Alligator mississippiensis: one gene and its partners. The protein of the gene in region 4 purifies or fractionates together with the protein of the main gene of each other region. This does not show direct contact. Links are inferred from orthologs where the notes say so. Each region holds a gene or a part of one and is shown on either strand. Other genes may lie near its edges.

Region 1 (7,430 bases), on a different chromosome or scaffold from region 4:
CCCATGGCAGACCCTTCAACCACCTTGGACACCCTATTGCTGACCTGAGCATGGCTGCTTTTAGGTAGCAAACCTTTAAAAACCAATTTGAATGGGAAATTGGGGAATGAGAACTCGCCCCAGACTGGACCGGTTAAGTGTGCTTTAAACAGAGACTTCCTATCCCATGACCTGGGTTAGCTTTTGTGACCCCCTTGTTACCTGGGGTTTACTGCTTGTCTCTCCCAGCACTGCCCCCTCTCCCTCCCTCCCTGTCTTTTGTGTTCAAATCACTGTCTCCATTTGCTACCCTGCACAATGCCTGTCCTGTCACAGCATCTGATGAGGTGAGCCTGGGCTCATGAAAACTGGCACTATATAGGTAATACCTACTTTGATTAGTCTGTAAGGTGCAAGTCTACCCTGCCTCCTCCATGTGATGCTGCCATCTCGTGGCAGGAACACTGAGTGAATAGGGCAGCTCCCTGGAAGAAGCACAGGGACTGATACAGTGCAGACAGTCAAAAAGCCTGAGGCTGAATCAATTCAATCTTTGCGGGTTAGTCTAAGCTGCGTAGATTGAACCAAGAAGCAAGTGAACAGACATGCACTGTTGATTCCAGAAATGCAGCCACATGCCTGCAGTGGCCTAGGCCAGAAGCAGGGTGGGGGGCACTAAAGCATCCCTCCCTGCTCAGTTTGAGCAGACAGCTTGGGCCAAGCCCATCCACATTGTGAGGTGGGGTTTATGCAGGAGGTGCAAAGCATCCTGGGATGCTGGGGGACCATGAATTAACTTGAATTGGAGGGGATCTGGGACAGAAGTTCAATAAACTGATTTAACGAAAATCGGTTAAGTCTGATACCACATCCATGCAGGTTTAAACCAGTTTCAGCCATTTCTGAAAGCGGCTTATGTGCATGAACTTCTGTTGTGTTACAGATTTGAACCAGTTTCCAATCCTCTATACCAGCTTATATGTAAATTCTGTTCCTAGCCTATCGACCACCTCCTATGGCTCTGCTCGTACACCAAGGAGGTGTAGAAGCAGCTCTGTGAAGCAGTGACTGGTTGGACAGCTGTCAAGAGAGGTGGCACTGTACCGACACCTAACTAAACACCAAGGGCGCCCATCAGCCCGCTTCGATCAGTTTGTGTCCTGCGTCAGGAGCGCCCTGTGGAAATGCAGGAACATCCTGATGTACAGACACACAAACCTCGAAGTGGTAGACTGCGTTAAAATGGCTTTGAGCAAACTTCAGTCCTACTACCAGAAATTGGTAGCAGAAGACATAGCCAAATCCGCCTGGCAGAGGGACACTCGGCATAGGATCTTTCAAGACCTCCCCAGTGGGAAAACAGACAGTGACAGAGAAGAGGACATCAAGACAACAGGATCAGAAGATAGCAATGAGGGCAGCAGCAGTGACAGCAGCAGCAGGTCCTCCAGCAGAAGCAACAGCGAGTGAACTGAGTTTTAAACCCTGTATTCAGGGACAGGACTAAGAGACAAGGGTTTAAGAGAGAAGATGCCTTGCAGTCGGGTGTACGGGAGCACTATCCTATGGGTGCAGTATATTGTAATGGTTGCGCGGTACCTATGGTGGGTTAAGGAGACAATGATCAGTGACTAGAAGGTGTGTGTGTGTATGTAGATAGATAGATAGATAGATAGATAGATATAAAACCTTTATTATATACAAGACACATATTTTTACCAAAAAAATAATGTTGTCCCTACCCATAGTGACTAGTGAGTAGTTGGAGGTATTCTCCTATGGCTGTCTGTCCTCCTCCATCCACAGGTCCCCGGGGGGTATACGAAAGGGCTGTCCAGGCTGTCTCCGATGCACCAGTCAGGCAGCATCAGCACAACAGGCTCCCTTTCCATGGCCTAAAACAGTGATTCTCAACCAGGGTGTCTTCAGATCCTTTCAAGGGTGCTGCGGGGTGCCATGCAGTGTTAGATGTTCAAACGTGATTCATAAGATGAACCCAGAAATTTAAAATGGGAATTCATAGCATTAAAACCTGTTGTAGTCTCTCTGTTCTTTGCAATGGAAGAATTGCTTTTTTTTTTTGTAGCCAAAAAGCGAGTGAGAACCAGAGCTGCCATCCTCGGAGGGGTGCCTTGAGTCTAATGAGGGGTGGCATGAGTCTAACAAGGTTGACAACCGGCGCCCTAGAGGAAGATATCACATATGATGATGCATATCCCAGTAACAGTGATGGGCACTTTGTGAACGCGGTGAGATGTCAAAGAGCTGGGAATGTAAACAGACCAGACAGGCAGGGGTTGGGGCAACACTGGAGCGAGGGAGTCATTCATGTCTCGATGCCCCCAGGGCAGTGCCCTAACTGCTACACCCTCTTGCCTCCCAATTGCTTTCATACTTGTCCATATATGCCATGAATGTCATAGCATTCATGGCATATATGGACAAGAGCATAGCATAGGCAAATGTTCCTTCCCTATTCCCAGTCCTCGCCCGTGCCTGGAAGATCATCCCTATAGAAAACACCAGCCTCATTTAATCTGCTGGATTATGGGATTATGGCATTTGGGACAGAAAATAACACTTCTTCATTAATATTTTCCACCTACGTACACTGTATCATCATCTCGAAGTATTTCAGTGTGCATCCTAGCCCATTTATCATCATTAACTTTGTTCTTAACCCCATTTTACAGCAAGTCTGGCCCAAAACCAAGAAGGGAGTCGCTGCGAACAGAACGCAGAACAGCCCTGTCCCGTCTCCCTCCTTCAATTGACGTGTGATCACCCCTTATTGCATCCCAGTTTGTTCGGGATAAATCTGCAGCCAGAAAAGGGGCTGATAGAGGTTATTTCTTTCAAAAGAGGACGGGGGTCTTGGACATTGCCAGCTCCTTTAAGGCAGATGGCGAGAACCCGGCGGCGTGCAGCGTTCTGCAGCGGTTGGGCCGAGATGGGGCTGTCCCTTAGCAAAAACCGGACGGCGCCCGGGCATGGGGGACCCGGCCAGAAACCGGGGACCAGGGAAGCAAGGATTACGTGGCTTCCCTCTCACCTCTGCATAGGTAAGGGGGGCCGAATCCAAGAGACAGGCTTCCTTGGGATGGGAGGGATCGGGGAGGCCGGGACGCCTGGGTTCTAGTCCCGTGTAGTCTCAAGGCAATTACACATCGCCCTGCCTCAGTTTCCCCATTCGTAATAATGGGTGCACGAGAAGAGTCAAGCTTGTGTTGCCAGCAGTAATAGTAAGCACAGTCTGGAGAAGTGGGGCCTTTGGAGACTCTTGCTCATAAATAAAAAACGGGGTTGGGCATCTCACGGATGCTCGGGAACAGCGGGCCCACTCCCTGCTGGCATCGAAAGCCCTCATTTTGGGCTGTCATGGTCCAGCCATGAGCTAAGCAGGGCTGGCTGGGCCCGTAGGAAGGTGGAGAGCTGCACACCACAGAGGGGGCCAAATTTGCTTCCAAGCCAGCTGTGAAGCGTCACCCCAGCACCGTGCGGCTCTGCCCCTGAAGCCCCAGTGCGGTGCCAGGGGCAGGGCAGGAGTCGTGCTGCAGCCGGGGCTGCTTTTCGGACGAGGGGTAAAAAACTGTCACGTCCCCTGGCAGCCGATCCCATTCTGCCGGCCATCAGGGGCTGTGGGAAGACTCCCGGTGCCTTGGGGAAGCATTAGCCTTGCCCCCGGGGGATGACCCTTCGCTTCCCGTCCTAAACGGCCGGGCAAAAGCAGGCGAATGTGCCTCCTCCGCAGTGCCAGGAGCTCCACGCTGCACCCCGCGCGGCGCCACGGGCCAACACGGCGTCAGCGAGCCAAGATACGTAGGTCGGCCTGACCGTGCCACAGCGATGCGGCACGCTCGGACGGGGAACGCGGGGCTGGCAAAGCTGAATCCCTGCCCCGCCACCTCCGCTGGCCCAGGAAAGCCACAGCGGGCAGGGGCACGACTGTAGCGGTCCAGTGTGACCGGACTGGTTGCACTGGTGCAGTGAGCCCAGGGTCCGGCAGCCCCCACCCCAGAGCTGGCTGCAGCGCCCTGGGCTCCAGCTGCCCCCTTCCCCCCCTAAACTGCCCCTGGCTGCTCTACTGCCCCCAATCATACCCCTCCCATCCCCAAACTGCTCCTGGCTGCTCTACTGCCCCCATAGCCCTCTCCCCCCCAAAACTGCCCCAGCTGCTCTACTGCCCCCAATCACAGGCCCCCTCCAAACTGCAGTACTGCCCCCAGTCATCCCCAATAACTGCCCTCTGGTGCAATTAGCTGCCCCCTCTCCCAAGATGCCAGGGGAGGGGGGGGGAGGCAGAGAACCCGGCGCGGGCGGCGACGCCAAGCCGAACCCCGCGCCCTCCCTGCCTCTTTGCTGCCCGCCCGCAGCGCGCAGCGCCGCCCGCCTGCCGCGCCCCACAGAGCCGCCGCGCCGAGCCGAGCCGAGGCCCCGCCCCGCGGGCGGGCGGGCGCGCCGCTATAGTCACGTGACGGCCGCATCCGGGTCCTTTGCCTTCTCTGCCTCGGCCCAACATGGCGGCGTCAGGTGAGTGCGGCTCGGCCGCCGCGGCCCAAGGCCCGCGCCCGCCGCCCTACCGGCCCCGCGCCCGGGGGGGGCCCAGCCCCGCGGCCCCCCTTCCCCCCCACACACCCTCGGGGCCGCATCCCCTTCTCCCGGAACGGTTTGGGCTGGCGCCGCGGCCGGTGATTGACGGGGGGGAGGGGGGGCGGAACCCTTGGGCGCGCACTGCGCAGGCGCGGGAGGGGGAGGGGGCGGTGGAGGAGCGGCGCCCACGTGGGCGCGGCCGGGCCCCGCCCCCCCCCGCGTGGCCTGGCCTCGTGGCACCCCGGACCACCCCCCCCCATGTGCACCCCCCCACCGGTCCTCCTTGGTCTCGGGGCCTCCCGTCCCCCCTGCCCCATGCTGGGAGGTCTGCGGGGGTTATCCAAAAAAAACCCCAACCCCTTGAAAAGGTCCCTCAGGGCTGGGAGAGCCTGGAGTCGGCCAAAATAGCCAGTCGCATCTTTGTCCCACGATCTCCTACGCACCATCGGCTTTCACGCTTCCTGGCACTGAGTTTGCACTGCGAAGCGCGGGGTCTACGAAGGTGTCGGGGTCACGCTGCAGCTACCTCGTCTGAGCCCCTCTTATTTTTATATTTTTTTGGAAGAAGAAGAAACTCTCTTGTATCCCTCCCCCCCCCCCAATTGCAGTTTCCCGCTGCATAAGGCTCCCCTGATGTCATTTCATTCGGCGCCCCGAAGAGAAGTGGCAGAGCACGCGTGCTTTGCATTGTGTTTCTTGTGCGCAAGGTGGAACCGGCGCAGGGGAATGACGCTGGGGGCGGGGGGGGGGGGAGTCGAGGCATCAGTGCAACGGATAGGGCCGTTCTCTTCCTTCCCTCAACTGCTGCTAGCGCTCTTTCCCTTTCTGGCCAAAGCGCACGACGTTTTTACTGCAGAAACATTGCTCTCGCTATGTGACGGCAATATCCGGGCGCGTGGATCCAAAGTGCGATTTGCCGGCACTAAAACACCCTTCAGTTCACAGGCGTCATCTGGAGTTCGTGCTGCCAGCGGAACTGTAGAGTCCCATATTTCCTAGCTAACAGCAGAGGCAGGAGATGCACCTCCCTTTTCCCTTGGTGCCTGCACAGGCGTGTTTATAGCTGATCACAGTGTGCGTGTGCATTGGTGGGACCGTCAGAGCAGAAGCTGAAGCCAAACCCAGCCATTAGCTAAAGATCAAGAGGGAAAGGAGAGAGAGAGAGAGAGAAAAAAAGCTCTCGGGGCCCAAAAGCCATGGGCTTAGTATATTGTACGAGTACTGTCATATGGGTCTAGCTGAACCCGGAATATTATTCTCAGGCTTGCTTGGGAAAACTTCATGGGGTGAGTAAAAAATATGTTGCTAGCTTTTCCATTGCTATAGTGAAAGATGAGCATTAGGTTTTATTCCTACTTGGGTCAAGTTGCTCAGTAATTCCTGAATGAGCACTGATAAAAACAGCCCTATGTTTTTGGAAATGCAGGGTGCTCGTAGCAAGTGCCTCTACATCTCGGCGGGAATGGCAGTGTCAAGGAGGTATGGTTGTTGGAGATAACAGTGGGGGAAGTCCAAGGAGGATTTCATTTGACCCATCTCCTTTATCCTTAAGCGTAGATGTTAAGGAAACATCCTGGAAGGGCTTGGCCCTCACAAGATAAATGGGGAGTGGTTGAGAGATGGCTGCCTCCTTGATAGGAGCAAAGAGGATGTTGGCTGTCAGAAAGCCTCACCTGCCTAGGAGGGCTGCTTCTGTCCAGTACCTTTCCTTGCCTTGGTCTCTCCCAGCCCCTACAAGGTTGTGACAGCTTTGGTGATGCATAAGCAGTGCACAGCCTCCTGCAACAGAAGTTGCTTCATACTGTTCCTCTCCTGCCTGTGACTTGTCAGCCATTTGATGCAAATTGAACAAACAGCCAGCCTGCAGGGTTTCTGGAAAGGCGGCTGCTAGTTAGCAGCCCATTTGCCAGGGTTTAGAAAGCCATCTCCGGCACTCGTAGGTCTGGGTGGGAAGGAGGGGGTGTCTGAGCGTGGAACGCACCTTTTAGCTTCTCTTTTCCAGCTGCACTTGCCTGCAGCAGGAGGGTTCTTCAGCTTCCTTTCTCAAGGCAGGCACTGCAGTAGGTCACTGCTGCTGATCAGCCAGTTTTTATCCACTGCTGACGTCATATTTCCATGAGTTTACCCTTGGCAAACTGAACTTTAACCATTCCAGAGGGCTAGCCTGCTCTTCCTTCCCAGCTCTTGGAGGCTGCAGCGCTTTACCGGTGCCTAGATTCCCCGAGAGATGCACCTTTCTAAAAAAAAGCTCTTGCAGCCCCTGTTTGTATTTCTTCAGCAGAGGCTTCCCCATGGCATCCTGGATTGGTGGAACTGCTGCTCCCCAGAGCCTTTTGCAGGAAGGGGAGGCACTTGAGACCATTGCAGTTTTTCTCCTTCACCTTAAGCCAGCTCTTAAGAACCTGGGATGTTTTTTTTCTGGAAGCCTCCAAAGCTGCAGAGTGGGGGCAGCATGTGGCTTCTATGCGACTTCCTTAATGTTCTGCGACTGAAGCAGCTAATGCATCCGCTGAAAACTCCTGAATCTTGCCCCAGGTTGGACATTTCAGTCTGATTTATTTTTAGCTTCATTCATGCAACCAGCAAGACTTCTTAGCAATGCTTGCCATGCTAATGTGTTGCAGGAACTGGGAAGGTAGCAGCAAGGCAGGAAAGATGCTTGGTTTTTCTTTTTTCAGTGCAATAGGAAGATTCTGCCTATACAGTTTGGAGGGGAAAGAAGCATCTAAAGGACTGAATTGTTGCAGAGTCGCACAGACTATAAAGGTGGTTGTTATTTTTACAAATTCTTTATGCCTTAAGCTGATATTGTAAGTGAACTTTGAAACTGCTCCAGCAACAGTGCTTGTGCAGATGTGTAA
Region 2 (7,412 bases), on a different chromosome or scaffold from region 4:
TGCTTCAGAAAGCAGCAATGCACAAGCACTTCAGACCACACCCAATACAATATATCAGGCAAAGCCTCCCCACATGACATCAGTGGAGATATGTACAATAGATTTTTTTCATGATAATGGTTTAAATAATGTAGTGCAGGAAAATCATTTAAAGCAGGGGTGTCAAAGAAACAGCCTGCAGAGCCACATCACTTGGTCTCTGGTGCTGGCCCCACATGGAGCAAATCCAGGACCCTCCTCCCCCCTGCATCCCAGATCCAGTGCCTGTGGCACCCACTCTGACTGATCTGGGATGCAAGCCACACATGGTGCCCACTCCAGCCAGTCTGGGCCAGGTGCCATGCACAGTGCAAGTCCTGGAGTGGGCTCCATGTGTGACGCAGTCCCAGACCAGCCAGAGCAGGTGCTTGATCTGGTATGGGGTGGGGAGGGGGAGAGGGTGGGTCCCCCTGCATGCTAGATCTGGTGGATGCTCCAGCCAGTCTGGGACCCACTATGCATGCAGCATCCTCCCTGGACTGGCTGGAGTGGGCACCATTTGCAACTCATGAGCCAATCTGGCCAGATCTGGTGCCAGGTGTGGTGCAGTTCTAGACCAGTTGGAGCGAGCGTCATGGGGGGACCCACACCATGGATAGCCTTCATCTGGCCCAGTGTGACCTTACACCATGGATAGCCTTCAGGGCCAGGTGAGTTTGACATGTCAGCTTTAATGCAACTGTCCAGGTTGCAAAGTAAAGTGAGAAGAGAAGACATCAATTTATTACACCAACTATTGACTCAGTATCATGCAGCTTGTGTGATATGAGTCTGAGGCAGACAAGGGCAGATCCAGGGAGGAGGCGCAATGGTGCAGTTGCACCCGCCTTTGAATCCTGCTCCACCCAAAGTTCAAAATGAACTGTTTGGCAGTGGCAACAGCATTTCTATTCAGGCAGTGCTGAGGGAGTCAGTTGACTTCCTGGCTCATTATAATCTACCACAGGGGTTTTCAACCCTTTTTATCTAGTGTACCCCTTCTGTCTCAAAGTTTCAGGCAGATATAAGGCTACACTAATTAACATTAAATGCAGAGGGAGAAAAAATTATTTGGGGAGACTGAGCGTGCGTGTGCATGCATGCACATGTCCCACCAGTAGTAAGCCTGTCGGGGAGGGGAAAAGGCTGGGGGAAGGGGGGTGCAGATTGAGCCCCCGTGGTAAGGGAGGGATTGGGGCACAGACAGGGGCTGGGGTGAATGGGGCCCCAGCCAGGCTGGGTGGTGGGACAATCAGAGCCTGGGCAGCTTGTGCAGGGGCATAGGGGGGCTCCTGCTGCTGCACACACCCCGGCGGAGGCCTGGGGGGGTATGTGCCCTCAGATCTGTGTGGGGTGGAGGTGGCAGCCACTGTGCGCTGAGCTTTGTGTACACTGCAGCTGCCCCTGGAGCTGTGTGACGCCATGTGCATGGTGGGCAGGGGGTGGGCAGAGGGAGCAGTGCGGCCCAGGCACATGGCATTGCAGTACTCCTGGGGCAGCTGCACTTATTTGATAAAATGTACGCTTATTAGATCAAATTAAATGCAATAAAGTTAATAATTTTAAAACAGTAATTTTTTCTCATTTGTTCTGCATACTCTGTACGACCTTTTTAAGTATCTCTAGGGGTATATGTACCCCCAGTTGACAACCACTGTAGTCTACCAAATCTGTTCTGAACTCTTCATTCCACAAGTGTTAACGACCCTCTCTCCTTCATAATGGTCTTGATGGTTCCCTAACCAAGCTATTCTTTCTTCTGCAATTCTGCTCTCAGCTGCTCCTGTAGCTCCTGTTTCACAGCCCTGCAGACTGTGTTTAGCTGGAAACATGAAGTCAGGGATGGAAATAACTTGGCACCAAGCAGAGAAGGTGCTGCCCAGATGCTCGAGGTGAGGCTTGGTTTTATGTATCTGAGCAAGAGAGGGACATTTCAGTCTCATGACATGGGGTTGAATGAAACAGCATCCTTTGAGAATGTCTTGCCTGCTCTGTTGTGCTTTTGTCTCAGAGCTGCAAAGCGGGGGCCTACTTCATGCCTGCCTTGTGCTTTTACACATTATACCCGATGCAGCAAATGAAGCACACTGCAATACAACGGCTTCTCCTCCTTGTACCTTGAACAGGACAACAGTCTTGCCCCTAGCTCCTCTTGGACGGAGAGCAAGATGCATTGGGTGCTATGGGATGATGTCCTATGCATGCCATCCACACCCCCCTTTTGACCTGCCCCCAGGCCTGGGGGCTGAGCCACTAACAGCCGCAGCGGAGGGGGATCTGTGCCCTTTCATGGCCCCTAGGGGCGCTTGGGACTCAGCACCAGTCAGTGTTGCCAGGTCTTAAATATAAAAGTATTGGAAGCTCAAAATGATCATATTTGATGAAAAACTATTGTACACGGAAAAAAATATGCATATAAATTTGCAAATAAGTTTGCAAATAAGTCTTATTTACTGTATATTGCTCATTGTAACACTCTAGAGAGCAAGTAAGAACTGGGTCATCGAAGTTGAAGCGTGTCTTCAGTTGAAGGCCAGCAGTCAACAAAGTAGAAAGTTGGTTATTGCTTCTTGAAGACTCAGATCAAGCATAATGGCTTCTTAACCTGGCAGGGGAAATACCATGTATGTGTCTGAGAAAGCAGTTTTCCTGAGATGCTCTGCTCTTTTGGAGTGGTTCAGTACCCGCCAAGGTACAGCGGCTTTAAACCCAGTTTATGGAAATGGGAGTCTCCTCCCTTGCTTGCTCCGAAGGCCCTATGGCTAAGGGCAAGCAAAACTCAGAGGCATCTAGTAGGATGCCCGCCAAAGGTTTTGGAAACATCTGAAGCCCCAGATGGGGGTAGAGGATGTTTGCTGGCAATAGGGCCGCTTATGGTTCTGGACTGGCTTTTGGATTTGAAATTTGTTTTGGCTAATTTGGCTTGGACCATGGAAAATTTAAATAAAAAAAGACTCCCTGAGAGTGACTTGGCTGTTGCATGCTGCGTCAACGAGCTGCCTCCAAAAATCGTCCATTTTGCGCACTGTTATTAGGACTGATCCTGCAACCTAAAAGGGTTGAAATCAGTGGGGGCCTTAGGGTTGTTGGGCAAGGGCCTCTTCTTACCCCTTAGAGGTACGCAGGTAAATATAACCCTGCAACAGTTGTATCGTGGATCTTTTTAATATTCGTTGGGGGAATCAAATAAATAGTCAATGCCAATAGAGCCACTTCCTTGCAAAAATTTCACCTTCCCCACATCCCACAAATCTGTTGCAACATTTTGGGGCCTCCTAAAATGTGCCCCCCCTCCCAAGTCTGTTGCACCATTTGGGGGCTGTCTAAAGCGTGCCCCCCTCCAAAAAAAATTTACTGCAACATTTTGGGGCCACCTAAAGCGTGCCCCTCCAATCTGTTGCAACATTTTGGGGACACCTAAAGTATGCCCTTACCCATCCCCCCCAAAAATCTTGCAACATTTTGGTGCCACCCAAAATGTGCCCTCACCCCCCCCCCCAAAAATCTGTTGCAATATTTTGGGGACACCTAAAGTATGCCCTTACCCATCCCCAAAAAACCTTGCAATGTTTTAGTGCCACCTAGAATGTGCCCTCACCCCCCCCCCCCCCAAAAAATGTTGCAATATTTTGGGGACACCTAAAGTATGCCCTTACCCACCCCAAATAATCTGTTGCAATATTTTGGGGCCATCTAAAGTGTCCCCCTCCCCTCCAAAAAAAATCTGTTGCAATATTTTGGGGACACCTAAAGTATGCCCTTACCCATCCCCCAAAAAAACCTTGCAATGTTTTGGTGCCACCTAGAATGTGCCCTCACCCCCCAAAAAATTGCAATATTTTGGGGACACCTAAAGTATGCCCTTACCCACCCCAAATAATCTGTTGCAATATTTTGGGGACACCTAAAGTATGCCCTTACCCATCCCAAAAAAAACCTTGCAATGTTTTGGTGCCACCTAGAATGTGCCCTCACCCCCCAAAAAATTGCAATATTTTGGGGACACCTAAAGTATGCCCTTACCCACCCCAAATAATCTGTTGCAATATTTTGGGGACACCTAAAGTATGCCCTTACCCATCCCAAAAAAAACCTTGCAATGTTTTGGTGCCACCTAGAATGTGCCCTCACCCCCCCAAAAATTGCAATATTTTGGGGACACCTAAAGTATGCCCTTACCCACCCCAAATAATCTGTTGCAATATTTTGGGGCCACCTAAAGTGTCCCCCTCCCCCCCAAAATTCTGTTGCAAACACCAGTGACGAAGCACTGGTTGAGACGCCGGCGCACACACGGGAGCCCCGCCCATCGGCCCGAACTCCGGCGCGCGGCGCCAAGGGGCGGGCTTTCCGCTTCCGGACACGTCAGCGCGCGGGGGTGGTCACGTGACGCGCTCCCTTTCCGGCCTGCAGGCTGCCTGGCTGGGCGCGCGGGGGAGAGGCCGCGCTGAGGGGAGCGCGCCGCCGCCATCATGCCGGTCTACTTCCAGCGCCCCGAGAACGCCCTGAAGCGGGCCAATGGTGAGTGCGGCCGGGCCCCGCGGCAGCCGGGCTCAGGCCCCCTCCCCCGGCTCGGGCCGCGTGAGGCCGAGGCCTGGCACGAGGCGCCGCCGCCCCGCCGGCGTTGCAAGGCCGGTCCTCACGTTACCGCCCGCCTGCCCCCGGAAGGGCCTTCCCTGATGGAGCGGGTTGGAAATGCCACGTGCGGGGCGGGAGGGATCAAGAGGATCCTGCATCGCCGTCTCCTGGCCGTCCTCCAGCGGCGACACGTCGTGGAGCACGTGCTGTCTGTACTCACCCGCTTGAGCCCTTTCCCCCAGGGCACCTCGCGGGGTTGCAGTTGGCAGGATTTAGGGGGTGACGGTTTGGCTCGTCATGGCATTGCCCCCGTGACCCACGTTTGGGTCATGACCCGGGTTGGGGGGGGAGGCAAATGGTGTAAATTCCGCAGCTCAGACCTTCCTCGCCTAATGAGGGCCTTGAGGGAAGGTCGCAGCTGTGTGGGAGCCCCGCAGAGGAGAGGAGACCTTTCTCAAGGCTATCCACAAAATCGAATCGTTGTTAATTGTCAGTGGACATGTCACGTTCCACCTGAAACCTATCGGAAAACAGCACGTTACAGCGTACTGTTTGTACTTGATCAAGTGAAACTTAAGGAGGTGTTCGCATTGTTGTACTTCAGTTTCCGAATGGTTTCACTCCCTAGAGAGGGATCGAATCCCGAAGAAACAAAATTGTGACGATTTTTGAGATCCGCATAAAAACACAGGGTGCTTTTTCTTCCCAAGCATAGTTGGAGAAAACCCCTCTCAGTCACTGCCCACACCTGAGCTGTAAGGAGCTGGATTTAATAACATTTGTGGGAGAACACACTACATTTCCAGGCTTGTCAAAGTCCATCTCCACCATGTTCTTCATCTAATAAAAGATAACACTCCCTGCCCAAATCCCTTGCCTCTCACAGTTGTGGTAAGAGCTTATGTGACAAATAGTATGTCCGTGGTCGTGTCAGGGGTGCTGCTATAATCTCTGCTAGTTTTCCTAATGTCTGTTCTGGCTAGATTTGGGCCTCCACCAAGTTGCAGTTCTGTTTAGAAAATCCTGTGAATAGTTATAAATACACCCCTTGTCTTAGATAGCTAATAGTCTTCATTAGGTGATATAGTTGGAAAGACCAACACAATCCACAGTCAAGTACTAATATTCCATTACAGGATTAAGTATTTAAATTTAAGTATTAGTAGTTGTTAGGGGTGCACCGATAAAGATTTTTTGGGGTGATACTGATGGCCGATGTATTAACTAGCCATATCGGCTGATAACAATCAAATAGCTGATTTACAGGAGCACAACCCGGCAGCTTGGAGAGCAGCCTGCTGCTGGTAAGTCTGGGGTGGTGGGGAAAGGGCCGTGGGGGAGGAATATTGAGGCTGCTACGGTAGGGAGGGAGTGGGGCATGTACAGGTGCTGCCCAGTGAGGGCAGGGCACAGGGTGGAGCTGCAGGTGGCTCGTCTGTGCAGAGGGGGGATAGCTTCCTGCTGCTGTGCACACCCCCAGGGGAGGCATGGGGGGCATTTGTCCCACTGGATTTGTGTGCAGGATGAGGTCAGGCTGCCTGCTGTGGGCTCAGGGCCAGGGGCTGTGTCAGTTTCTTCTGGTGGGCAGGTTGGGCTTGGGGTGGGCGGGAGCAGGGCAAGCTCCCTGCAAGTGATACCAAAGACTGGATGGAGCGTGGTGGAGGTGAGGCCAGCACCATTGGCCTTGGGTCCCTTGCCCTGCTCCCTTCAAGTGGTGCCAAGGACAAGAAGCGGGGTAGGGCTGGACACAGGGAGGCTTTGAGCTATTGGGCCCCAACTAAAACTGAGAGGGAGGGAGGGGAGTGGGATGGGGGGCATGGTGGCAGCGCCTTGCCGCTGCCACAACCTGACAACAGCCCTAAAGGGGGCGGGAATCAAGCCTGGCCCCAAAGTGGCAGGGGCCAAGGTGTGGGGAGCAGGCTCCTTTGCCTCTCTCCCCAACTGAATGAGAAGTGAGGGCAGGGCCGAATGCGGGACTCTGTCCCCGCTCACCATGACAGCGAGGAGTGCGTCACTGGGCCCTGACAAAAGCCAGTGGGGGGAGGGGCACGGTGACAGCGCCCAACTGTTGTCAGGCCCTGCCAACAGCTGGCAGGGAGTGGGGAAGGATGGCAGGTGGACATGGGCCAGGCAGACCCAGAGCATGTGGATGGTGGGGAGTGGCACCGGAGTGTGGGGGTGGGGGGAATGGGCTTGGATCGGAAGCGGTGGGAGAGTGGAGGGAAATGGGCCCAGACCTGAAGGGGAGGTAGGGTGGGAACCGACCTGGATTTAGAGGGTTGGGAGGAAGCAGGGCCGGACCTGAAACATGGTTTGGGGGAGCCAGACACAGGCAGGCCTCTGTCTTTGTGTTGTTTCTCCTCCCCTGCCCCCGGGCGGCAGTTGGCTAGTTCTTATATAATAAAGGGCTTAGTCCATCTGTCTGTCTGTCCGTAATGCTCTTGAAGCACTCTGATTGGTTGTTTCACTAACCAATCAGTGTGGAGCGCCGCCATGACGGCAGAGACGGGGCGGAGTGAGGCCAGTGTTGCTGGCTTTGCCCCCCCCTGCTCCATCCCTGCCATTATGGTGGTGCTCCACTGCCTCAGAGGAACAGCGGGGCAAGGCCAATGGCACTGGAGTGGGCAGTGGTGTGGGGTACTGGCGAAGGGAGATGAAGGGAATGGCAGGGCAAGCTTCCCCCCCCTGTTTCTCTGGAGGCGGTGGTGGGTGGTGCTGCTGCCAGGGGTACACTGATTCAAAAGGTTGAAAACCCCTAGTCTAAATTGTATGTTAGGGTGTAGCAAAATTTGCAAAACAATTTTGTAGTGCTGTAT
Region 3 (7,889 bases), on a different chromosome or scaffold from region 4:
CACGGGCGGCATCCTCCCGCCGGTGGAAGCTGATGAAGGCAAAGCCCTGGGTGAAAAGCCCATGGTTAGAGCTGAACTGAGCCAAGCCCTTCCCTACCACCCCAGAGGGCCTCTTGCTGCACCTTGGACTGCCCAGTGGCCTTGTCCTTAGCCAGATAGATCCTGGAAATGGAGCCGAAAGGGCGGAACAGCTCCTGCAGATCCGTCTCGCGTGTGTCTTCAGACAGGTTAGTGACACGGATGGTGGCATTGTCATCAGCTGCAAAGAGAGGAGAGTCAGGGCCAGGCCCAGGCGATGGGAATGAGCCCCCAGGACAGAGTTTCCCTGCTGGGCAAAGAACTGCCAGGATGGAGCTCAAACCGAGGCAGGAAGCAGGACCCAGGCATCCGAGTCAGGGCCAGGAGGGGCCCATAGGTCTGATTACCAGGACTTACCCCTGCGGTTGGGTTGCATGGACTCCCCACGGCGGCAGGCCCCATCCCTCAGGCTGGGTGGGACATACTTCCCCGTCTTGCTCTGTGCTGCCTGCACTGGCTCTGGCTCTACAAGGGCAGGGAAGCAAAGTTAGAAGAGCCCAGAGCCTCTGGGACCCGAACCCCTAAACCCCACTGCCCCCACCCCCAAACCTCCAGGCAGCTTCTCCTTCTCGCCAGTGGACAGCCCCAGCTGCTCAGCCAGTTCCTTCTGCATAGGCCCCAGTGTGTCTTTGTAGGGGCAACGTGTGGTCCAATGGTCGCCCTTGCAGATGCGGCATGATACAATCTTCTGGCCCTTCAGCTTGTTCATGGGGTCTTCCTCCTCTTGGCAGTTCAGGTCCTGCAGCAGGCGTGGGGGAATCAGCATTGGAACTACTCCTCTGCAGGGAGCTCCCAAGCCCCCACCAGAGCAGCTGGATGCCCATGGTCCCTCCCCCTGCCCTAGGACCCCACCCCAACCCTTACTCACCTCCTTGCTAGTGATGAAAGTCATGAAGACATCGTCGCTCACAGTTGTTGTGGCGATGCTGGGGCCAGGCGCATCAAATTCTGAGTTGCCAAACTTCTTCCAGTTCTGGGAGAGGCAGGCAGGGGAGGTGTCAAGCTGGGAAATCCTTCCACCTCATCCCACCCAGCTAACTGGGAGACTGGGCAGAAGTGCCCCCTGGTGGCATCTGTTAAATGTAACAGGCTCAACCCAAACCAGAAGCAGCCCTGGGCGTGGGGGCAGAGATGCCACCAAAAAGGGAGGAAATGGACATGGACAGATGTGGGAGGGAAAAGGGAGCAAGGCAGGACAAGCAGCTTGGGTATGTGAAAGGCCCAGTCCCGTCTCATTCCAACCCTCCAATGCCCACCCCCTCCATTTTAACCCCTCTTGCCCCAGCAAGGAGCCCACTCACCTTGCGGCGGGCCACGGCCTTAGAAGCCTTCCTAGTCTCAATACGGAAGGTACGGATGATCTGAGGGAGAAAGACCCCATCACTCACCATATGAGAAATGAGGGGGGTAGCATTCACCCCAAGGACACAGGGAGTGCCCCACCAGCATGACTGCCCCCACATGCAGGATACAGGAGCAGTGGACACAAGGGCCACGACCCATCACACACTTTCTAACATGCCCCTCATGGCTCAGGCTGGGGGAATCTTGCCCCAGCCAGGGAAAAAGTCCCCAAGACAGCCCCAGCCTAACCCCTCCAGCACTCACCTTCACCTTGCGCCCATCCTCCTCCTCACGGTACTCAGTGATAGTTTTGATGTTCCCATTGATTAGCTCCTTTGGGGATGGAAGAGGACCTAAGGGGACAGGGCAGGCAGTGAGATGACTGGATCCATGGGGCTCCCTGGGGCAGTGCCCAATCCCCACTCCTCAGCCAGCCTGGCTCTTACCATCTTTCAGCAGCTCTGACTCGGCCTTGGCCTCTGCCTCAGCAACACTGGCACCCAGGTCCCCACCCAGCACCGCAGTGAGGGGGATGTCCTTGAGCAGCTCGCTGGTGATGCATTTGTCTGGGGAAGAGGAGCAGGGCTAGACCTTGCTAGTCAGTCACTTATTGGGGGAAGGAACAGGGAACTCTTATGGGCTAGGGCCAGGGTGCCACAATGCTACCCAGCGCCAGGTGTGCTCATGCCCCATCCCTGGAGATCCTACAGGGTGCCACTGCAATAACAGGAACTCTTAGCTCTGTGGGGCTTGGGGTGCCCTAGTAACAGGATCTACCCCCCCTACCCCCCCAGGTCTCAACAAGCTACAAAAATGCAGGCTGCCCAGGAAATAAGTTGGAGGGAAGCAGAGAGTGGGTCTGAGGGGAGGGGATTATCACCCCCCAGCAGGTCACCTGTACTGTGGGACCACCACCAGATCAGATAAGGGGCCTGGGGTGGGGGCTGTGTGTTGTGGGGGCAAGGGTTCTTGCCCTGTCACAGGGACGGGCCATGAGCCAGGGCAGGGGCAGGCACCCAGCTTCCTCGATGGGCCTTAGAGCAACACACGGGCCCTTGGGCTAGGCTGGAACCTGACCAGCACTAGGAGACTGCGAGGCCAGATGCAAAGGAGCCGGGGATCCCAATGACCGAAGGTGTCTGCTGGGGGAGGGGGAGGTGGAGTCGGCCCACAGCCCCGTGGGGGGGTCCGCGCCGGGGGGAGGAGAATGTGCGGGGGGAAAGGGAGGGGAGTCCAGCCCGGGTGCAGCCTCTCACCGTCGTCGCCTCCCTCCTCCTCCACTTGGTCGGCCCAGCTAGGCTTCGAGCTGCGGGAGCGAGAGTTAGAGCCGCGCGGACACGATCCTCCGGCCTCCCCGCTCCCACCCCATACTAGGCCACCGCACCCCCCACATCTCCCTCAACCCCCAGCCCCTCCCTCATTTCCGCCCCAGGCCCAACCCCGGACCCCGGGCCCAGCCCGCACCCCGCCCGTCTCACTCGTAGTCTCCCGTCGGCATCGCGCGCCCTGTGCAGCAGCAGCAGCAATAGCCGCCGCCGAACGCCTCGCGCCACAAACCGGAAGCAGAAGGGCCTCACCAGCGAGCACTGCCCACGCTCCTAGAGAGGCCGGAAGGAGATAGGGGAGGAATCACCGCGGCAGCCTTGGGAGCTGAGGGGCCTGCAGGAACTGCCGGATTCTCGCAGTGCGCTCTGGGAAGTGTAGTCCTGAAGGATCTCACGCTTACTAGCATCCGACCCCGGGGTCGCAATGCATTCTGGGAACTGGAGCACCGCACCCGGGCCACGCTGCATACTGGGAGCTGTAGTTCTCTCCCCCGCGCGTTGGCAGGCCTCGTGGTCAGGCCAGGTTCCGCCCCAGCTTCAGCCCACGTGAATGTTATTTTCCACGGCACGAAAGGGTTAAAGGGGGGTGGGGGCAGGCTCAGGGCCCAGCCAGCACAAACCAGGAGCCGGGGCTACTGGGAACCTCAGGAGGCAACTGCAGCCCAGGGCAGAGCTAGAGCCAGGCCCGGGGCAACAGCTGGAACCACCCCGAGGTGCAGGCAAGTCCTGACCCCTGCAGAGGATTTTTTAAGGGGTTCTGAAAGAGGGCATCGTGCCTAGAACGGGAAGTGTCATCGGATCCCTGCGTAAGTTCACTGTGCACTCAGTTCTTGTCCCAGCACCTCAAATACGAGATAGAAGGGCAGTAAGCATGAGAGGTCTGGAGGGACTGCGTTGTGAGGGCAGACTCAGGAGGCTAGGCCTGCTCACTTGGGGGGGGGGGGGGGTGTACTGGGATCATCTTCAGCAGACAGAAACAAGGGGTCACAATGCGAAACGAGCCGCTTGCAAGTTTAAAACTAACAAGTACTTTTCCACCCAACATGTCATGAAAGGGTGGGACTTGTTGCCAACACATGCAGCAGAAGCTGACAGTTTAGCTGAGCTTCACAAGGGGCGATATCCTTGGAGGAAAGGGGCATTGATCGCTATTGAACCCAAGAGCAACTGGCACAGCCTCTGAATCAGACCTTCCTGGACCTTAATGCTGGAGGCTACAAGAAAGCAACAGTGGAAAAAGACCCTGGTCAGACCTGCTCACCCCCACCTTCCAGCCTTTGCTTGCTGTATGACAGGATACTGGGTAAGATGGACCTGTGGTCTGACCCAGTAAACAGCAGTTATGTTCTTATAGAGACTTGGGGGTGGTTTTGCCCTGCACCCTGCAAGAGCTGGAGGAACATCCCTTCTGCTAGCAGCTCCATGGCACCCACTATGGCCAGAAAGGAGGTTGTAGCCCAGAAGCTGTCTTCAGCAGCACAGCCTAGAGCCAGCATTGCCCCCCAACTTGGAGTCAGGCCCCAGCCTCCTCCACAGGGCTGGGAGATGCTGAGAAAAACCAGGGGGGGAGAGAAGAAGAGAGCTCTCCCCAGCATGTAATTTATAGGAGAGATTTATTTGAAGAAATATTACAACATATAAAAACTACATAAAGTATTAATTTCCACTTGTATAAAGTGGTCGATTATTTTCAATACAAGGCATAATAAAAACATCATCCTTTAAATCCAGAATGCACAGGAGGCGGGGCGGGGGGGGCACTGCACAGCTGATCACTAAAATGATGATTAGTTGAGAACGCAACTGTCACAGACAGCCCTTGAGCTTGGCCGGGGAGACGAACACTGCTCACGGGTACAGCTGAACAACAGACTCAGCATGTCGGACCAAAACAAGGAACAGAACAAAACGAAACAAAAATCAGTGCATGTTTGGGAGTCCTGGAGCTGGAGAAGGAGATGGGAGGGCAAGTGTCAGTCCGCAATTTCCATCTTCTCCACTTTGCTGCTCTCTGTGGAAAGAGGTCAGGCCAGTGAGGCAGCAGGTGAGGCCTGGGCATGGCCACCACCAGGGACTGGCTCTGGTGCCAGCCAGCCCCCCTAACCCCTCAAGCCTGGAGTTTGAAAAGTCTTTCCTCTGGTCTGGGGCTTCTAAGGGACCTGTAATTTTGTGGGCAGACCTGGAAGCTACAGTCCTGCCCTCAGAGAACATGGACAGCAGCTGCAAAGTTTTATGGCCACCCACCCAAGCCCGGGGGCCACCCACCCAAGCCCAGGGGTGTTCCCCCTCAACCCAGTGCTGCATGTACCCATGGCTTCCTCTTTCATCTTGGCCAACCGGCACATCTTGATCTCCAGTCCGATGGCCTTGGCTAGTGGTGGAGGCACTGCATTACCAACCTGTAAAGAGGAATGTGGGACTGTGAGCTCACCCACACCCTGCCCTGCCTGCAGTTCTGGTGCCTGAGGCTGCTGCAGCAGCAGCTCAGCTGTCCTAGTGTCAGTAGCCACTCGGCAACTGTGTCCCTGACAACCTTTGCAGGGGGCAGGGGCACAACACCGTGGGGAGGGAGAATCTGAGGCACCCACCTGTCTGTGCTTGTCAAGGATGTTCCCGAACAGTCTGTAGGTGTCAGGAAAGCCCTGGGACCGTGCACACTCCCGCACGCTCACCACGCGGTGCTGCTCAGGGTGTAGCACACGGCCCTGTGGGGGGATGGGAGACAGGGGTCAGCCACAAGGCAGGCAGCCCTGGAGCCAGGGCTGTGGAGGAGAGGTACTGCACCTTGCCCAGCAGCACCTGCCCCTGTGCAAATTGCCCTGTGGTCACCCCAGGGCAAGGGCCAAGGCCTGGAGGCCTCCTGCTGCATTCATGGGCCATGGAAGGGCAATTCTCAGCCCCACAGGGACTACATCCGTCTCTCCCACCCTTGCTTGCCCAGGTACCACCATACGCACCTGCTTGCCCATGGGTTCGGGGTTGGTGACCGTGGTGCTGAAGAAGCCATCCCACTCAAGGCGCCCATACAGCCCGGCCCAGTGATTGTGCCTGTTGCCCGTGTGGGGCAGACACCAAGGGATGAGCGTGTTGAACTGCCGGTCCGCAGAGTCACAAGGCTTCCCTGGGAGGTGGAAAAGCAGCACATACTTGGGTTGGGCTACCTAAGGCAGAGGGCACAGACACCTGCAGAAAACCAGGGAGTAGCCCTTGTCCCTGCCAAGCAGCCTCTAAGCCAAGATAGGCCTCCTGCACCTGCCCCTAAGCCAAGATGGGCATGGGGCCAGAGCCCCGTCTGCTTTTTGCCCACCCCCAGTACCTTCGGCACAGGAGCAGACACCCCGCAGTGCGCCGGTGCTGCTGCGCCCATTCTTCCTCTCGTGGTGCGTGTAGCGCAGCTTGCGGGTGCTGGTGCCGTCCGACAGCCGTACCTCGATGTTGGGCAGGTCACGCCAGTCTGAGCCAGGTGCCAGGGGGATGTGCCTCATTCGAGCTGCTACCAGTGCACTCATGTCCTGCAGCAGCGAGTTCGAGCCCCGTTACCTCCCTGCAGCCTGACACTAGCTGCCCAGCACCATCCCACACAGGGCTTCTGGTCTGAGTGACCCCCAGACACTGCCCCACAACCACAGCTACCCAAAAAGTCCTCACCTTGCAGATGTGGTCCCTGAGGATGGGCTGATATTGAGAGCCCCGGATCTGCCGCTGGAACCAGGACTGGGGCTCCCCATTGTATGAGATCTCTAGTGCTGAGGCCCCGTTCCTGATCTCGGGCAGGTCAGACATGGTGTCCCGGACCGTGATGGTGCGGAAGGGGCCAGAGTACGTCCTGTGGCGGAGGGGTTGAGGGGCCAGTCAGGCAACCAGTCATGGCCTAACTGCCCTCAGCCCCACAACTCTGACTTGGGGAAGGTGCCATGCTATGGACCTGCCATGCCCTTCCCTGGATATCCAGGGAAATCAGGAGCATCTGCACTGGTTCCATGGGCCCCATCCCACTCCACCCGCCCCCATGGCTACCCACATTCACCTGGTGATATTGCTCACAAACTTCTTGTCATCCACCACAACACTGAGCTGGCAGGCACGGGGCGCAAACACATGCAGTGGCTCAGGGAACATAGGCAGCTTCTCTCCGGGGGCCGCAGCCAAGACAATGGCTCTCCGGCGCGTCTGGGCCACACCATACTGGCCGGCCTGTGGGGAGGGGGCATCCAGAGCCAGCTCCAGCAGGGCATTGGGCTCTTCCACCCCTACACATCACACCCACTCACCCCCTAGGGAAGCAGGTGCCTGAGTGGACACATGACATCTCCACCCAAGCCTACGCCCCAAGCAGAAGGGCCTCGAACCTGACAGAGCCTCTACCCAGGGCAGCCTCATGGAGCCCTGCCAGTGCTGCTCAGGCCCCAGACTCCTACCTGCAGCACGCCGAAGGTGCACTGGTAGCCCATGCGCACGAGGCAGCGTAGCGTGAGCTTGAGCACCATGGAGCGCTTGAAGGAAACAAAGTTGCGCACATTCTCCAGCAGGAAGAAGCGGGGCCGGTAGTAGTCACAGTAGCTGTAGGGACAGGTGGGAGCAGGGACAGTGCAGCAGGGAGACTGGGCCGGGACCCATGACCAGTGAGTAGCCTCACCTGCCCCCACACCCTGCCACCCCCCAAGCACCTCTGGGCTCATACAGTGCCAGGGACCCTTACAACACCAAGGGGTCCAGCTCAGTTGTTATACAGGAGGCCCCAGGGCGGTGCTAGGCCATGGGTGCAATGTGCAGGGGCTAGGGCCATGGGGCTCTCCCCAGGCCAAGCTCTCATGTCACATGGACCTTCCCGTGCTGCAGACTCAGATGCACTGCTGGCAGCTGTGCTGGGACTGCGAGGGACATGCTACATCTGTCCCCTTCCAGCCTCTCTCGGGCTGGAGCTTGGAGACTCCTTCCTCCCATCCACCTCACCCCAGGAGAGCCTCAGTGCCCCCCCACCTGAGGAAGGAGACAACAAGGGAATTCTTGAACTTGGAGTAGGTGCGGGAGTTGAAGCGGTTCATGCCGCTGAAGCCCTGGCAGGGGGGGCCACCACACAGTAGTTCCACATCGCCTTTCTGTGGCAGCTTCTGGCCCAGAGTGTTGGTCTTCTCGCCGGCC
Region 4 (7,934 bases):
TAATCTTGGCCTGGTGGGTACAGGTGCAGCCTCCTTAGGGCTGTGACCAGACAGTGCTGGGACAGTGAGTCTCTGACTGGTGCTCTCTCCTCTGGCCAGGTGGCTGGCGTGACGGCCTTGGCCTGTGGCATGATTGCTGTGGGCTCCTGCAATGGGGACGTCACCTCCACCATTCTCCAGACCATCATGGAGAAGTCTGAGACGGAGCTGAAGGACACTTATGCTCGCTGGTTGCCACTCGGCCTGGGCCTCAACCACCTGGGTACAGCTGGGCAGGCAGGCACTGTCTGCAGGCTGGGGCTGGGCTGGTGAGCCCAGGGGAGGGCTGGGGGTGGCATTGGATCTGGGTGGTGAGCCGGGAGCAGAACATGCCTGGGGCTATGTGGAGTGGGGCGTCCCCTCGAATATAGGGCTGGTGTGGCTGCTCTGCAGGTCCTCCCAACATGCTGGGGTTTACAGAGCAGGAGCTTTTAAGTTACACATGCCATACCTGTTGGTTTGTGGCCTGAATGATGGTTTTGCTCTGCTATACCCCATAATCCCCTGCGGTTGCAAAGGCCCGTGTGATTGGGGTTATGAGGGGGCAGCACTGGGGGAGCTGAGCAGATGTTAAGGGGAGTAGTACCCAGGCAGGTGACAAGGATAGGACAAGGTTGGGGGTGTGGGGTGCTCTGGCTTGCTACAGGCTGCCTAAGGTTAGAGAGGTCCCTCAAGGCGAGCTCAGGTGCCCTTCTGAGGGCCTCCAGCTAGGCACCAGCTCCTGGCACCTGCAGAGTCTGTACCCTTGGGCCTGGCTGCTCTCACAGGCCTTGCTGCTGCCCCGCAGGGAAGGGGGAGGCAATCGAGGCTATCCTGGCGGCGCTGGAGGTGGTGTCGGAGCCCTTCCGTAGCTTTGCCAACACCCTGGTGGACATCTGTGCGTATGCTGGTGAGTCCCAGCCCTGCCCAGCAGTGGTGGAGGTTGAGAGGGGGTCGGCTCCAGGACCCTGCCCCTCCTCATAAGGCCAATCCCATGGGCCTCTCTTACCTACAGGCTCAGGCAATGTGCTGAAGGTGCAGCAGCTGCTCCACATCTGCAGTGAGCACTTTGACTCTAAGGAGAAGGAGGAGGAGAAGGACAAGAAAGACAAGAAGGAGAAGGAGAAGAAAGAAGGCTCAGCTGACATGGGGGCCCACCAGGTGAGGCGGGGCATGCAGGGCTTTTGGCCTTTGTCTGCCCAGGGAAAGGCTTCCAGCAGAATCTGCCTGCTTTGTCCACAGGCAAGGGGGGCATGGCTGGTGTCTATTCTGTTCCCTTGAGCTGGGCAGCCCCAAGGGGCAGCTTAAGCCAGCTGTTGGCATGAAGACCTGGCTTGGCCTGGCCTGGGAGGGCTCTGGAGAGAGCCTTCACCCTGGGATGGGGAGAGGGGCAGAGCTGTTGGCCTACTGGGCCTGGTCAGGCTGGGTGGTTTAGGACCTGGTCCGTGCATGCCTTGGCCAGTGCTCAGCCCGCATGTCCGCCCCCTCTACAGGGTGTGGCTGTGCTGGGCATCGCGCTCATTGCCATGGGGGAAGAGATTGGCGCCGAGATGGCTCTGCGCACCTTCGGCCACCTGGTGAGTGATGGCACTGATGTGGGAAGGGGAGGAGGCTTCACTGCAGAGGGAGGGATGGACCTCACAGGGAGCTCTAGGTGTGGGGCAGGAGAAGACAGGGAGTGCCACCCCTCAGCCTGGCACTGCCTGCTCGTGTTTCCTGGGTGCCCACTGCCTGCTCACATCCCCTCCCAGCACTGCAGAGAACTCTGCTAGTCTTGTGACAGGGACTCCCTGGCATGTGTGAGGGATTCAGGGCCCAGCTTGCCACCAGGCTCTAACGTCTCCATCCCTCCCGACATAGCTGCGGTATGGGGAGCCTACGCTGCGCCGCGCTGTGCCCCTGGCCCTGGCTCTGATCTCCGTCTCCAACCCACGCCTCAACATCCTTGACACCCTCAGCAAGTTCTCACATGATGCTGACCCTGAAGTCTCCTACAACTCCATCTTTGCCATGGGCATGGTGGGCAGTGGTAAGGCCCCTGGCACTGTGCAGGAGGGAACTGGGGGGATGGGGGGGGTGGTTACTGTAGTCTCAGCAGCTGGATGCTGGAGTAGCAGGGCTCTCTTTCAACCTTCCTTTGCCTATCTGTTCCTGATTAGCAGAGCCCCAGTGCCAGCTGGGTCACACTGGGCAGATGCTGCCATCTCATCTCACTGCTGGGGGTGGGTCCTGCCCAGGGTGGAGTGGCAGCTGAGCCTGTCCATGTGTGCATGCAGCTGTACTGCCCTGGGGCCCCTCACTTCTGGATACACAGCCCAGAGTCCTGGTAGACCTCATTCCGGATCACTCGTTGGAGAAGTGGTAGGGATGTGTCTGGCATCTGGTACCCAGGCTGGGGCTTGCAGCCTGTTCCTAGCTTCCTGCTCACCCCTGGTTCCTGTGCAGGCACCAACAATGCCCGGCTGGCAGCGATGCTGAGACAGCTGGCCCAGTACCATGCCAAGGACCCCAACAACCTCTTCATGGTGCGGCTGGCTCAGGTAAGTGCCTGGAGTTGGGTGTCTTGGGGCTCAGAGCCCTGCCCAGGGTGCTGGCCTGGGGCCCCGTCCTAATGCACCTTCCTTTTGCTGAGCAGGGGCTGACTCACCTTGGGAAGGGGACCCTCACCCTGTGTCCATACCACAGTGACCGGCAGCTTATGAGCCAGGTGGCTGTGGCGGGGCTGCTGACTGTGCTTGTATCCTTCCTGGATGTGCGCAACAGTGAGTATGGTGGTCCTTGCCCACAGGGCACTTTTGGGTCTGAGGGAGGGTACCCAGCAGAAGGTTGTGCGTGGCTCAGCCCCTTGCTCTTTACCCTTGATGAGCTGGGTTGTGCTGCTCAGGTGGGTGGGTGGCTTTGGCTGTGTCCTGCAGGCTGTAATGCCCCTGTCTCCCTCCAGTCATCTTGGGCAAGTCACACTATGTCCTGTATGGGCTGGTGGCCGCCATGCAGCCACGAATGCTGGTGACGTTCGATGAGGAATTGCGGCCTCTGCCTGTGTCGGTCAGGGTGGGGCAGGTAAGAAGGCAGTGGGGGAGCTGCTGGGTTCTGAGACTGGAGAGGTGATGGCTTGAGGCTGAGGGCTCCAGGTTGGTGCCATGGGGCTACCTGCAGCCCTAGCAGCACCTGTCTTGGCCTGGGAGACTTGAGCTCGGTTGTGGGTATCTGTGGCTGCCTCCATGTCCTCGATGCTGACCCTCACCCCCTTCTACAGGCTGTGGATGTCGTGGGGCAGGCAGGCAAGCCAAAGACCATCACAGGCTTCCAGACGCACACAACGCCAGTGCTGCTGGCACATGGGGAACGGGCTGAGCTGGCCACAGAGGAGCACATGCCTGTGACGCCCATCCTGGAGGGCTTCGTCATCCTGCGCAAGAACCCCAACTATGATGTCTGAGCCTGGGGCTGGGGTGGGGCAGGGGCTGGAGGGGGGTGGGGAGGGGGAGGGGCAGGGGCATGTGCTCAGCTCCTCGCTGCTGTTTGTTACTGAGGAGCTGGTAGGCAAATAAATCTATGGGAGACATAGGCTGCCAGCTGGTTCCTCCAGGTGGGGTGAGGCAGACCTGGGTGCCTGGGTCCTGGCAGCTGGGGTCGGGTGGCCTGTGCTGGCTGTGGCAGGGGGCTGGCAGGCTCTAGCTGGAACTAGAACCTGGGAGGTAGCTCCGTGCCCAGTGGCTCCCCTGCCTCCTAGCAAGACGCTCGGACTGGAGGCCTGGGGAGACAGCAGCATTTGATGCCAAGTGTGGGGCCTGGCTTGAATTGAATTCCCAGGGCATCTGTCTAGCTCTGGTGCCATCGGGCACCTGTGAGGGAAAGGTGCTGGCTCAGGGCTCCTCCTGGTGCCCCATGCAGGATGTCTCTTTGCACCCTGAATGCCCCTTCCCCCTGCGCAGCAGCTGCCTGCCAGGGGCGGTTTACCCCGATGTGGTGATGACTGACCATTCCTGTCCCAAGCCCCATGTGGCGGCTATTGAGCCTACTCTGCTTTGCCAGGCTCCTCACTTGAGCACAGTAACTAGGCTGAAGGGGACAAGAGGCTGCTGGGCTGATCCTAAACCCTCCTTGCAGGGGGGCTGGGGCTGCTGCCAGGGCTTGGGGGGGGGGGGGGGGGTCGCTGGTACCTGGCTGAAGGTGGGGGCTACAAAGTTGAGCTGAGGGTGAGGCCTAGGGCCAGCCTCGCTCTCTAGTTGCTGCCCCCAGCCCCAGGGCAGTGGGGGCTGCAGCCCTCCCGTGCGCCCTAGGGGTTGCTGCCTTGCTGGCAGATGCTTCCTGCGTGTCCACATCCCTTAGTGCCGCCGGCACCTCATCGGCCCCGGCCGCGCTGATGACTTTAAGCCTTCGCTGCAGGGCTCGTTCCTCGCTCCCAAATGCAGCCAGCTCTGGGGTGGGAAGCGGCCGCTCGTGCCCCTCCCTCTCCCTACCCTTCTTTCTCTATCTCCGTCCACTGCCCTGCAGGGAGCAGGACCCAGCTCCTTGCTGCAGTGGGACCACCGCCGGGTGCTGTTGCGGCTGCCCCCGGCCCTGCGAGGAGCTGCAGGCCCGGTCCGCTGCCCGTCGGGGGCTGGAGGGAGAGGGGCCGACCAGCCCTAGTGCAATGGACGCCAGCCCAGATGCCTCCGGGGCAGAAGACTGAGGGACAGGCCTGCCCTGGGCGCATCCCGCTGGCTCAGGCGGGGGCGGGAGTCGCGCACGTGCCACTCACGTGGGCGCGGGCCGGAAGCGGGGCGCATGACGCGATGACGCCACGTCCCGGAAGGGGCGGGATTTCGGGGCGGGTGTGGGGTTGTCACGTGACGAGGGCCGGTTTCCCCCCAGCGCGGCTTCGGCGGCGCCACCCCGTCCCCCGCCACGTGGCCCGGCCGCGCCGCCCGCCCCGCCCCGCCGCCGCCGCCCGCCGAGCGGTCCGGAAATGGTCGTGCTGCGCTGCGTTGCGGCTGCGTCGGGCCGCGCGGACTGAGCCGGACGGAAGGTACCGGGGCCGCCCCCCTCCCCCACCCCCGCGCCGCACCGGCCCCCCTCTCCTCTACTCCCTGCCGGCCCGGCCGCCCCCACCCCCCCTCGCCACGTGCGGCCCGGCCCGGCCCGCGCCCCCCCTCCCCCCGCGGGGCCCATTGTCCGCGCCCCGCCCCACCCCTCCGCCCCCCCCACGTGCGCGGCCCGGCCCGGCCCGGCCCCACGTGCGCCGCCGCCCGCCCGCCCGCGCCCCATGGCGGCGCCGGCAGTGACACGTGTCCTTGGAGGCCGCGGCCGCCTCGGCCTCGTGCGCGCGGTTCGTCCCCCCCCGCCAAGGGTTAACCCCCCCGGGCGGGTACGAGCCGGCGGCCGGGCCGGGAAGCCCGAGGCCTACAGCCGGGCCCAGCTCCCTCGTGGCGCCGCGGCCTAGTGAGAGCGGAGGCCGGGCCTGTCCCGTGCCCCCTCCCCCGCTTCCCCGGCGCCTCCCCGGCTGTCCCGGGCTGGGGGCTTCCTGGCTGCCCGAGTGGGATGCCTCGGCCCCGGCTCCAAGTCGTGCTCCCTCCTCCCCTGCGCAGACCCGCGGGAGCGGGGGCGCTCGCACCGGGGTCCGTGGCGGGTGGGATTCACCCGCGGGCGGGGGGCTCTGGGCATCCACGGGCCCTTTCGGGGGTGGCGGGGGCAGGCGGCACGTGGCCGCGGTGGGGTGGGTGCGGGGTCGAGCTGCGGCGCTGAGGAAGGGTCGTTCCCCGCGCGGTGCCGGGCCGGGGGCGCTGTGCCCGCCGGCCCCGGGCGTGGGGCGAGGCGGTGGGGCGCAGGGAGCTGGCGCTCTGTGTTTGTTCAGCGGGTGGGCCCGTCTGACGGCGTCCCGTCTTGGCCCAAGGGCAAGGGCCTGGCGGGGGCCGAGAAGGCGGCACTGGCTGCTGGACGCAGCTTGGCAGGCCCCTAGCAGCGCAGGTCGGGGAGGGGCTGGTGCCCAGGGACCCATCTGTGGCTGCCTCGTCTCGCCCGCCGTGGCACGGGCCTGGTGGGGTGTGCCCAGGTGCCGGGCGCTGCGTGGGGACCCCAGTAGACGGGCTCGGGAAGGCGACTGGGGTCCTGCCCCGGGGAGCAGGTGCTCTCCTGGATCGTTTTAGCCCAGGTGCTGCCCTGGCACAGGCTCCCCGTCCTGCCAGCCCAGTGCTTGGTGCAGACCAGTGTGAGCAGGGGCTCCCAGGGGGTGCCCCCTTTTCCACCCCAGGGGCGTTTGCTGCCTTTTCCGCAAGGGGAAATCTATCGTCAGCCCCTCTGCCCTGCTCCAGCTCCCCCAGGGGCCGTGGTGTTCGGGGGCAGCCCCGCGGGGGTCTGTCCGTGCTAGGGGCAGTGTCTAGGCCAGGTGGGGGAGGTCCGGCCTTGCTGCTCGGGAGCAGGGAGCACCAGGCCCGAGGCTGCTCCTCTCCGGCGGGAGTGACTCATGCGTGGAGTTTCGCCGACAGGTCGGGGCAGCGCGGGGAGGCCACATGGCTCGGGCGGGGGTGGGGTTTCGGGCGCTCCCGGCTGCTCCGTCTGCTTGTGTGTGTCTCCGTCTCGGTGCCTCTGCACTGCAGCAGACTGCGATCCGATCCGACACCGCGCTCCTGCCGCCAGGGGGGCGGGGGGCTCTGCCCGGCTGTGCCCATGTTAGGTGCGCGGGGCCCTCCCCGGCGCGGCCCGGCCGGCGGCTTTGCAGCCTCATGGTGTTTCTCTCCTCTTTCTCTCCCATCCTCGCTCTGTCTTTCGAAGCCAGTCGGATGCACGGTCTCTGCAGGCCCGCTCAGCTGGCCCGAGTCTTTCCCGTGGGGGGGTGAGTATGGCCTCGCCCCGCGGCATGGGGGGGGGCTGCGGTGGGTCGGGGATCTGCGTGCCTGGTGGGGGAGGGGACACAGCTGTCTGGGTGCCGGCAGGGGGCTCGGGAGCGGTGTTACAGAGGCAGGATCTCTGCTGGGCTCCAAAGTCCCTTCTTCCAGCAGCAGGCTTGTGCAACCAGCAGCGAATGCACCCCCCACCCCCTGCGTCCGCCTGCCTGGGCGAGGGCTGGGGCCTGGGCACGCACGCTGGGCGCCCCGCCAGCCTGTGGGCATGCACACCAGGCGCCCTGCCAGGGAGCCCTGCCCCAGGCACGTGGGGGAGGGGCTGGGGAGTTGGGGCAGGGGTGAGGTTAATCCCACCTGTGACTTGGCCCCAAGGTTTAGGCTGGGGACAGGGTCATGCCTGTGTGTCTCTGCAGGGGGGCAGCATTGGGCACCTCAGGGGCAGGAGCCAGCTTTTCCCCCCCCGCCTTCCTGCTCCCAGGTGCTGTGATGGGGTGTAAACACCTGGCTGGGTGGCATGCTGTCCTTGGCCAGGGGCTCTTTTCAGTGACCCTGTGGGCTGCTTGGCTGGCTCTCACAGCTTGGGCATCTTCGTGCCGTCCTCTGCCGCGTTCCTCCCGGCTGCAAGGAATTCAGGGGCTCAATCTGAGGCTTGTGGGGTGGGGGGGCAATGTTGGATGCGTGGGCTGGTGTGGTTGTACAGCCCCCCCCACTGTGCCCTTTGCCTGCCCCAGGCAGGTGGCACCAACCCAGCATTTCCCAGAGCCCCTGGCCCGCAGCAGGTGCCAGGCTCTAATGCTGGGGGGGTTTCGGGGCAGGGAGCTTCCCTGCCCACATCCCCTACGCTGTTGTGGGGTAGGAGTTGAGCCTATCCCTCCTGCTGATGTTGCCCACTGGGTCCCCTCCAGGCTCCCTGGGGTGTGTAGGGCTGGGCTGGGGGTGCTTGGCCAGGGCCTGGCTGCCTCCACTGGGAATGCTGAGGCCAGAGCATCGGGTTACAGGCAGCCCCTGTTTGTTTGGGTGCCTGGGCAGCCAGGCCTACTCTGCGTGTGGAGGGGCCCGAAGGCTTTCTGGCCCTGGCCTTAGCAGCAGGGG

What was found.
Region 1: the proteins of EIF4G1 (region 4) and EIF4B fractionate together in Homo sapiens (co-fractionation; 4 studies listed by BioGRID, with this or other methods). This does not show direct contact. The link is inferred for Alligator mississippiensis from reciprocal best matches to the Homo sapiens genes EIF4G1 and EIF4B.
Region 2: the proteins of EIF4G1 (region 4) and EIF3A purify together in Homo sapiens (affinity purification with western blotting; 4 studies listed by BioGRID, with this or other methods). This does not show direct contact. The link is inferred for Alligator mississippiensis from reciprocal best matches to the Homo sapiens genes EIF4G1 and EIF3A.
Region 3: the proteins of EIF4G1 (region 4) and EIF3G purify together in Homo sapiens (affinity purification with mass spectrometry; 3 studies listed by BioGRID, with this or other methods). This does not show direct contact. The link is inferred for Alligator mississippiensis from reciprocal best matches to the Homo sapiens genes EIF4G1 and EIF3G.

Annotation. Positions count from the first base shown.
Region 1 is NC_081838.1:9,390,381-9,397,810, reverse strand, and holds the start of EIF4B (eukaryotic translation initiation factor 4B), read left to right. Parts: upstream 1-4,429; 5' UTR 4,430-4,496; coding exon of another isoform or gene 4,497-4,509; intron 4,510-7,230; exon of another isoform or gene 7,231-7,247; 5' UTR 7,248-7,335; intron 7,336-7,430. UniProt on the Homo sapiens protein: Required for the binding of mRNA to ribosomes. Functions in close association with EIF4-F and EIF4-A. Binds near the 5'-terminal cap of mRNA in presence of EIF-4F and ATP.
Region 2 is NC_081829.1:87,766,733-87,774,144, forward strand, and holds the start of EIF3A (eukaryotic translation initiation factor 3 subunit A), read left to right. Parts: upstream 1-4,410; 5' UTR 4,411-4,490; coding exon 4,491-4,539; intron 4,540-7,412. UniProt on the Homo sapiens protein: RNA-binding component of the eukaryotic translation initiation factor 3 (eIF-3) complex, which is required for several steps in the initiation of protein synthesis.
Region 3 is NC_081831.1:22,141,899-22,149,787, forward strand, and holds the start of EIF3G (eukaryotic translation initiation factor 3 subunit G), read right to left. Parts: upstream 3,014-7,889; 5' UTR 2,921-3,013; coding exon 2,901-2,920; intron 2,729-2,900; coding exon 2,679-2,728; intron 1,989-2,678; coding exon 1,869-1,988; intron 1,776-1,868; coding exon 1,687-1,775; intron 1,440-1,686; coding exon 1,380-1,439; intron 1,052-1,379; coding exon 947-1,051; intron 818-946; coding exon 628-817; intron 544-627; coding exon 436-543; intron 260-435; coding exon 123-259; intron 47-122; coding exon 1-46. Other genes in the region: DNMT1 (DNA (cytosine-5)-methyltransferase 1), read right to left, coding at 4,621-4,758, 5,336-5,452, 5,705-5,868, 6,064-6,259, 6,396-6,573, 6,775-6,941, 7,166-7,307, 7,728-7,889. UniProt on the Homo sapiens protein: RNA-binding component of the eukaryotic translation initiation factor 3 (eIF-3) complex, which is required for several steps in the initiation of protein synthesis.
Region 4 is NC_081830.1:83,637,378-83,645,311, reverse strand, and holds the start of EIF4G1 (eukaryotic translation initiation factor 4 gamma 1), read left to right. Parts: upstream 1-4,923; 5' UTR 4,924-5,029; intron 5,030-6,771; 5' UTR 6,772-6,832; intron 6,833-7,934. Other genes in the region: PSMD2 (26S proteasome non-ATPase regulatory subunit 2), read left to right, coding at 100-262, 827-928, 1,034-1,179, 1,512-1,595, 1,879-2,047, 2,464-2,558, 2,654-2,780, 2,960-3,078 and 1 more.